Coturnix japonica: one gene and its partner. The protein of the gene in region 1 interacts with the protein of each later gene in a biochemical or structural test. Links are inferred from orthologs where the notes say so. Each region holds a gene or a part of one and is shown on either strand. Other genes may lie near its edges.

Region 1 (3,647 bases):
TTACAGTTCATGGTATAGTCTCATTTCAGTGTCCAAAAATTATTAATGTGTTGGAAAACACTCTTCTTGAAAAATGCTGCACAGCATTGTTCATGCGTGGCTTTTTCATTTACAGACAAAGGGTTCATTCATCTAGAGCCTCAGTTTAGCCCTTTGGAAGCTGTCAATCTACATGAAGTCAAAAATTTTGTCGTCGATGTGCAGGCGTACCCCGCTCCAAAAATGTACTGGTTGAAGGATAATGTGACTCTGATTGAAAACCTTACTGAGATTGTTACTAGTTCAAACAGAGTCCAGGAAACACGGTAAAAATACTCTTATGAATCTTACTTTGCCACGATGACTCAAGTGTTTCTCCCCTAGAAACCTGAGAACTTCTGCTTTCTCTTTCCACTGCAGTTCTTCCTCAATAACATTTAAAAATCCTATGTTTTCTGCTCTAAAGGGTGATGCCTTAATAACATTAACATCTCTAAACCATACAAATCTTGGATTCTAGGTACTAACCCTCTTCAGTCCCTCCAAGAAATCTTCTCTCTAATTATCTTTAGCTATTTCTAGAAACATCGCAGTCTTCGTTGGAGCCAAGCAGGATATAATAATGCCCACTTCTTTCTTGGTTGTGTTTTGGTGACTATTTACTGTTTGAACAATGATTTTAGTGCGAAGGCATGCCAGAAATGCTGAGTGTCAGCACATTATAATATCCGTGTGTCCAGATTATATGTTGCATTGAAGTAGATTTTTTATGCCTGCTTTCAACATACAAACAAAATGTAAAAATACAAAAATATAAACCAAAACTCTCATTTCTGCAGGTTTCAAAGTGTACTAAAATTGATCCGGGCCAAGGAAGAAGACAGTGGGTACTATACTTTGGTTGCTGAAAATGAAGATGAGGTTAAGAGATACACCTTCTCCTTGCTAATACAAGGTAATGGCTTCAAAAGCCTTCCTTACCAGAACTGATGGGCCACAGCATGAATTTGATCCACTTATGTATGGGTCAACAATGAATACTGGATTGCCTGGGCTATAGAGATAAGAGAAGTGTGAACTGGGGTGTCTGGAGCAGTGCATGTCTGCTGAGTCCTCGTAGCTCTCATACTGTAATCCTGGCTTTGACTTCTGCACTGGCCTTGTGCCAGAAAGAAACTTTATCCTCCTGTCTAAGTTATTCCAGCTGACAGCGGGAACGATAACTCATTTAGCATGACATGAGGACGTGGCATACACGCAGCACTTTCTTTTCATCGCTCTAGCTTGTGATACCCTGTGTTCTTCAGCAGACAGGGACCTCCTGGCCAAGTGGCTCTAGATGCCACTAAGCTGTCAGACAAACAGTACCTGCCCTGCTTTGTTTGAGATTTCAGGCTGCTCTTTTAGACCCTGTTGAACGTTTTAACAAATTCTTGACTCCTTTCCAGTTCCAGCCTTGATCTTAGACCTTGTGGATGACCACCAGGGCTCCACTGGCAGGCAGACAGTGAGGTGCTTGGCTGAAGGGACCCCGCTTCCTGATGTGGAATGGTTGGTTTGCAAGGACATTAAAAAGTAAGAAGAAGAGGAACTTTGTTATCTAAAACATGACTCCGTTGTTCTTGGCTAGCTTAACATTATTAGTTATCATACCGTGTTTTCTTCATCAAGAGCCAGTAAGCCATAATTCTGATGTCTTTTTGGAGACACACTGCTTATATTTTGAGAGGTTTTCAGTACCCTTCCTAGTGTTAATGTCCTATAGAAGAATACACAATGCATCCATTTAACTTTGATAAAAGTTCTGTGTTCAATAATTGAATGTAGTAGATCTTAAAGTTAACTGTCTTTCCATTCTGAGGACTCCTGCTACTTCACAGGTAGCCCTGTTGCCTCATTAATACTCTTGTGTGCTTCTAAATTTTCACTTGGACAGTTTCTCCCCAGATTATAATTTTCACCTTCTAAGACTTCTAGACACATGTAGTAATCATTCCTGGTTTTGCTAGTTCTAGACTGTTTTCTTCTGTAGCTGCTGGGAACTGCTGAGCTCTCCCTGGGAATCTGTAAGGATTCAAGGAAAAGGAGACTAAAGGAATCTGTAAGGATCCAAGGAAAAGGAGACTAAACATGAAGGGAGGCTAGGAGCCCTGGGACCTCCCAGCTGTGCTCCACTCCCACTGCACTAAAATCTCCTCCTGCCACCTGGGACAGTTGTCCTCTTAGCCCTGCCCCAGGAAGCCTTGTATGGCATGAAGGATTCAGGCAGAAGTAGAGATCCACTGCTATAACTCTACAGGATATGAATGATGCAGGCTTTTCACAGAGGTGGTCTTAAGCATTTCTTTAAAAATATAATTGACAGAAGAAAGGCATAGGAAAAGATGATTCCCACTGTGGTGACTTTTTATCTACACCTACATCCAACATGTATTTCCACTGTCACTCTCTGCAGATGCAGCAATGACACTTCCTGGACTCTTCTGACTAGCAACGTCTCTGATATACACATGGAAGCCCACTTGGATGAGAAGAATATGGTGGAAAGCCAGGTGACCTTCCAGAAGGTAGAGGAAACCCTGGCTGTCAGATGTGTAGCAAGAAACGACCTTGGCGCTGTTACTCGGGAACTGAAACTTGTGGCTCCCAGTGAGTTTGCTTTGTCCTTCTATGAGATTACAGAAGCCATCTTAACCTCTCGTTAACATACCTCATTTTAGTCTATAAGAAAGCTTAGTAGATAAAAACATAATCTGCAGCAAATAAGAATAAATGAAAATGGATTTTATCCACCAAGGAACAACTGAGAATGAAGCATTTTACAGGTCTTTATGGGGTATCTGATTTGTTTTATCATTTCATTATGATTGGTCATGGGATGTTCTTCTAAACAAAGTAGACAGTGTAGCTCTGGTCTCAGAGAGGCTTTACAGTTACCAACTGTCACGAGTTACTTAGATTTACCTATGCCCGTGACAGGGGAAGCCACCCTGTGCCCCCCCCCCCTCCCCCCCCGGCGCCCAGAAAGGAGGGGGAAAAGGGGAATGGGATAAAAAACAGTTGGCAATCTAAGGAGGAAAAACTATTTTACTAAGTATGATATCGAAATACAACATAACACATATAATATAATTGCAGGCTAACGAATCGAACGAAACAGAGAGAGAGAGAGTCCCGAAAAACTGAGAGGCCTACTAATGAACTCTAGGCGTACACGCTCTGGAACGCTTCCCACTTCTCCGAGAAGTTCGAGAGAAGAAGGGCACTCCAGCCTCGGGAACAAGATTATATAGCGTCCTGGTTCCGTGACTTATCATTACCCCTGTTGTTCTCTGGGATTATGTTAGGACTTCTTCTGTGCCGGACTGCACATTCAATAGAGTATGCCATGCTTACATGATGTTATGATGTGGAATACTGATAGCAAATACAAAACCATGGGACATTCCACCCCTTTCTAACATTAGTACGATCATGGGTAGATATATATACAATATATGCCACGTATGTAAAACTATGATAGCCTAAATAGTAGAAATTGCATGTACATAACAAATGTACAACTATAATAACTAAATACACGTAACACTGCAACATATAATCTAATATAGATACATAAAATTATTAGACTTGCACTCCCCCAGCATGCAAATGCCCTATGTGGTACA
Region 2 (4,252 bases), on another chromosome or scaffold:
TAATTCAGAGAATTCTATTCTCAGAAGGAGCGGTGCTGCAGTGGCACAGGCTGCCCAGGGAGGTGGTGCAGTCACCGTCCCTGGAGGTGTTCCAGAACCATGTGGATGTGGCACTGAGGGACGTGGGCAGTGGGCATGGTGGGGATGGGCTGGTGGCCATTGTACTGGGTGATCTTAAAGACCTTTTCCAGACTTAATGATTCCATGATTCTATGATTCTGTAAGCCTTGGCATGAGGGCTCTTCAAGGAGAAATCCTAGGGCCAACGATGGCTGCAGTTGGAGGATGAAGCATAGGGACACCATGACACATTCCCACAGGATGAGGTGGGAACGTTCCCTTTCTCCTGACCTTAAGTTTCCCTCCTCTCCATGCGTATCTAAGCTGATGAGACAAAAAATGCCCTGCTTCCCCCTCCCTCCTTGCAGAAATAGTCGGACTTGGAATTCCCCTCTACCTCATGGCTGGGGACACAGGGTCTCACTGGTGATCTCAGCCCAGCAGAAACCTTTCTTTGCTGAGGGCAGGCAGCAGCAGAGCAGGAGGCTGGGAAGGAGGAGGGGAGCCATGGCAGGAAACCAAGAACACATCAGACACTCTAAATTTAGATCTTTTTATTCAGCTCGGACAATATTCCTTGATTTCTCATTGTTCGGCAGAGGGCAGAGGGCAGGGGATCTATTGAAAGGCTTTGTCCTGAGAGATGCCACTTTGTCTGGGCACAGGGGGGCGGAGGAGCCACAGATTGGGGCAGACGGGGGCACCCATCCCACTGCTCCAGTGTTATGCTTGGGCACCTGTGCAGTCCCACTACCCGCAGGGTACCTACCCCCTGTACCCCATCCATTCTGGGGAATGCGGGCTGTGGATCCCTGTGGTGAGCGGTCCCCATGCCAGCGGGGCAGCGGGCGCAGAGTGTGTAAATACAGGGTAAATACACACCCGCTCTATACGTCTCTCTGCCTTTCCGGCACTGCAGCTCAAAGTCTATTTTTAAACTCCCTCCTTTATTACACACACCAGCAGATAGCCACGGCCTGCCCACCCCCATAGCAAGGTGCTGCTCTATTGTGCGCACAGCATGGCGACAGGGTATGTGGTGGGCCACCGACCTGCTCCTCTGCCCATTGCCATAGGGCAATTCGGGGTGCCCAGCTGCGTGTGCACTATTGCAATGAAGCTGCAGGGTGCACATAGCCTGGGATGATGGCTGTGCAGAGCCTGTGGTTGATGGCAGGTTGATGGGAGTGGGATGCAGCATCACCAGAGCCACCCAGACTGGGGTGGGCACACCCAAACTGGGTGGGCAGGAGGATCTCGTGGGGCTTCCCCTCCCCTGCCCATTCTCTGCCCTGACCACACATGCAGGGCTTGTAGCACGTCTTGCTTCAGCACACACACATATAGCAGGTGGAGGGGGAGGCAGAGCTGCTTGCTTTTGGTTTTCGACCCTCATATCTTCATTTCACATCATGAGTCATGTTATGTTCTGAGCTGAGTAACTTCTGGGGCTATTTTTACTCCAGCTCTGCGAGCTTCCTTCTCACCACCGCCACCGCCACTCACTGTGCACCCAGGGGCAGAGGATGGGGATGAGGTGAGTGGAGGGGCTGTGGGCAGGGATGGGGCCGGGGGTGGAAGGGGGAAGGATGCCCAGCTCCTCACCCTGGGAATGAAAATAGCCAATGCCTCGTCAAAAAAAACAGCTGACCCGTGGTGTGTGGCGCATTCACACACACATATATATATTTGTTATACCAGGAGAGGGGAAAAGGGGGAGGGAGAGAAATTCCTTTCGAGTGCTATTCACCAGTCTGGAAAAATAAAGAAGGAAAGCAGAACATTTTTTCCTTTCATCAAAACAGGAAAGAGAGGGGGAATGGGGTGGGGAGCAGATCCATAGACATAATGGATGGTTGCCAGAGTAAGGAAATTGTTCCCTTCTACCCCAAACTTGGGGGTGGGGGGGGAAGAGAAATATCTGATGGTGTGAGCAGAGAAGACTGCACTCCCTCCTCTCTGCTGTATGCCTGCAGGAAAGCAATGGGAAATCAGTGTCCCCAGCTTTGCCCTCCATCCCTGAATCCTGCTCGACCTGCATGCTCCTAGAATTGTAGAATCACTGGAGTCGGGAGAGACCCTCACAGGTCATCCAGTCCCACTCCCCTGCAATGAACAAACAGATGAATCAGGCTGGCAGTGAGTGGTGGTGCTTTGCTTCTCCTTCACCTCAAGGACTGGCACAAGCCCTCTCCCATCTCCTGCTGTCAGGGTCAGTGCACTGTCCCAGGGATGTGTTGTGCTCACATTTGCCAGGTCTCCTTTGGGAAGGGGTGAGCAAACAGACAAGGTGAGGGGCAGGAGGAATTCCTCTGCCATGGAGCTCCTAGAGGAAGCCTGGCAGGTCCTACCAAACTCCTTGCTCTGGGGTCAAGTGCTTTACTCATCCTTGGAAAGCACTTTCCCTGTCAGCGCCAAGGGCAAGGAGGCAAATTGTGCAAGCCTTGCATGCCCTGAGGCTCTGCTTTTCTCAGGCACCAGATATAAACAACAAGCTGCCTGCCTGTCTCTGTCTCCTTCCTTTGCTCCTCTTCCCCTTTCCTCCTGTCTTCCTCCCATAGACTAAACCCAGCCATCAGGAAGCTGTGGCAGCTTCATCCTGATGGCTCTGTTTGGGATAAACCCAATGACACCATTCCCCGTGGCGTAAAACAGATGCACCCCAAGAACCTCCCAGTGCAAAGCTGCTCCCCTCCATTGACAGCAGCCACGGGGAGAAGGTTGGGGATGGCTCACTCTGCTCCAGGAGCAGTGCAACACCCAAACTAGGTGCCTTGAGTGGGCGGGCTGACTACACGCGGGCTGTCAACACCTCCTAATTTCTTTCCATTGATGTTTTGCAAAGGATTCATCACCGAGAGGCTGAGACACCTCAGCTGTTTGGATTGAGTCTTGCTTTCCATTGTGAACCCTGTTTTGCTTTCTGCTGTTTCACAATACTCAAAAAAAAGTGGGGGTGGGGGAAGGGAAGATAAAGAAGATATCACCCTAACATTGTGCCTCTGTGGATGGTGGCAAGTAGATCATTTTTTCCACCAGTGTAAGAAGAAGGGATGGTGGCCTCACATCAAGAAGCCATGTGTCGCCCTAGGGCATGTACTGACCTCCTCCCTTGTGATTAGATAATAAGTGAAGAGCACAGCTGTTTGCAGCTGGGGAGCTGCTGTGCTGGTGAAAGAGTTTGAATAAGAAATCCCACTACAGGTTCTGAAGGAAATCTGTTTGTGTTGCACTTTGTCTGGGGGCCACTGCCAGCCACCATGGTTGCAACAGGAGCTTGTCAAGTTGCAGTGCTCCAATCTGTCCACTCTATGTAGCCTTGAAGCATCTTCCACTGCAATGCAATGGCACTGGGCTCCAAGCCCATGTGCTGTGAGATCTGTGGCACTGATCATAGAATCACAGAATTATTAGGGTTGGAAAAGACCATAAGGACCATCTGGTCCAACCGTTAGCTCACCCCCACCATGCCCACTGACGACGTCCCTCAGTGCCACATCCACACGGTTCTGGAACACCTCCAGGGAAGGTGACTGCACCACCTCCCTGGGCAGCCTGTGCCACTGCAGCACCGCTCTTCCTGGGAAGAAATTCTTCCTAATATCCAACCTGAGAGCTCCATCAGTGGACTTGCAAGCCTCCACCCAACAGGCCATGAGAGGGGACAATAGTGGTCCATATTAAACTTAGGGGTTCATAGAGTAGATCATGAGCTGATTTCACAAAAGCAAGAGAATAAAGGGAACACTAATCTCAGGGCACAGTAGTGTTGAGTGCATGCAGCCCTGCTGATCTCAACCCCAATGAACTTGGTGGAGTGAGACTGGCACAGACTGAATCTCAGTACCTCACTGAAGAAAAATCTGTTCCTGTCTTAAAAGCAGAAAGAGCAAGGCAACACGGCTGAAGCCCGAGCATATCGCATATCGTCTTGCTCTATTTCCAGGCAGGGTCATAGGTAGATGATTAGTCAAATTCCAAACATCCTCTTCCTTGCTGTCTGGAGATTCGGCGGGGATTAGCTTTTTGTTTCTGATGTCGAGCTTCTAAAAACCGCCCTGCATCATCCACGTGAAAATAAATAACTCTATTTCTATCCCAGCTCACATGTAACGTAGCCGGATATTATAAAAAATATAAGCACGTAGCCCCCCAAAAGCATGCCCTGCAGCAGCTCTTGCTCCTACCAAGC

Evidence for each region. The genes of interacting proteins can lie anywhere in the genome.
Region 2: the proteins of PDGFRA (region 1) and PDGFB form a complex in vitro, tested with the Homo sapiens proteins (3 studies listed by BioGRID). The link is inferred for Coturnix japonica from reciprocal best matches to the Homo sapiens genes PDGFRA and PDGFB.

What each region holds. Positions count from the first base shown.
Region 1 is NC_029519.1:59,024,580-59,028,226, reverse strand, and holds part of PDGFRA (platelet-derived growth factor receptor alpha), read left to right. Parts: coding exon 1-12; intron 13-115; coding exon 116-305; intron 306-818; coding exon 819-934; intron 935-1,427; coding exon 1,428-1,554; intron 1,555-2,434; coding exon 2,435-2,628; intron 2,629-3,647. UniProt on the Homo sapiens protein: Tyrosine-protein kinase that acts as a cell-surface receptor for PDGFA, PDGFB and PDGFC and plays an essential role in the regulation of embryonic development, cell proliferation, survival and chemotaxis.
Region 2 is NC_029516.1:46,279,135-46,283,386, forward strand, and holds the start of PDGFB (platelet-derived growth factor subunit B), read left to right. Parts: upstream 1-1,310; 5' UTR 1,311-1,597; intron 1,598-4,252. UniProt on the Homo sapiens protein: Growth factor that plays an essential role in the regulation of embryonic development, cell proliferation, cell migration, survival and chemotaxis. Potent mitogen for cells of mesenchymal origin.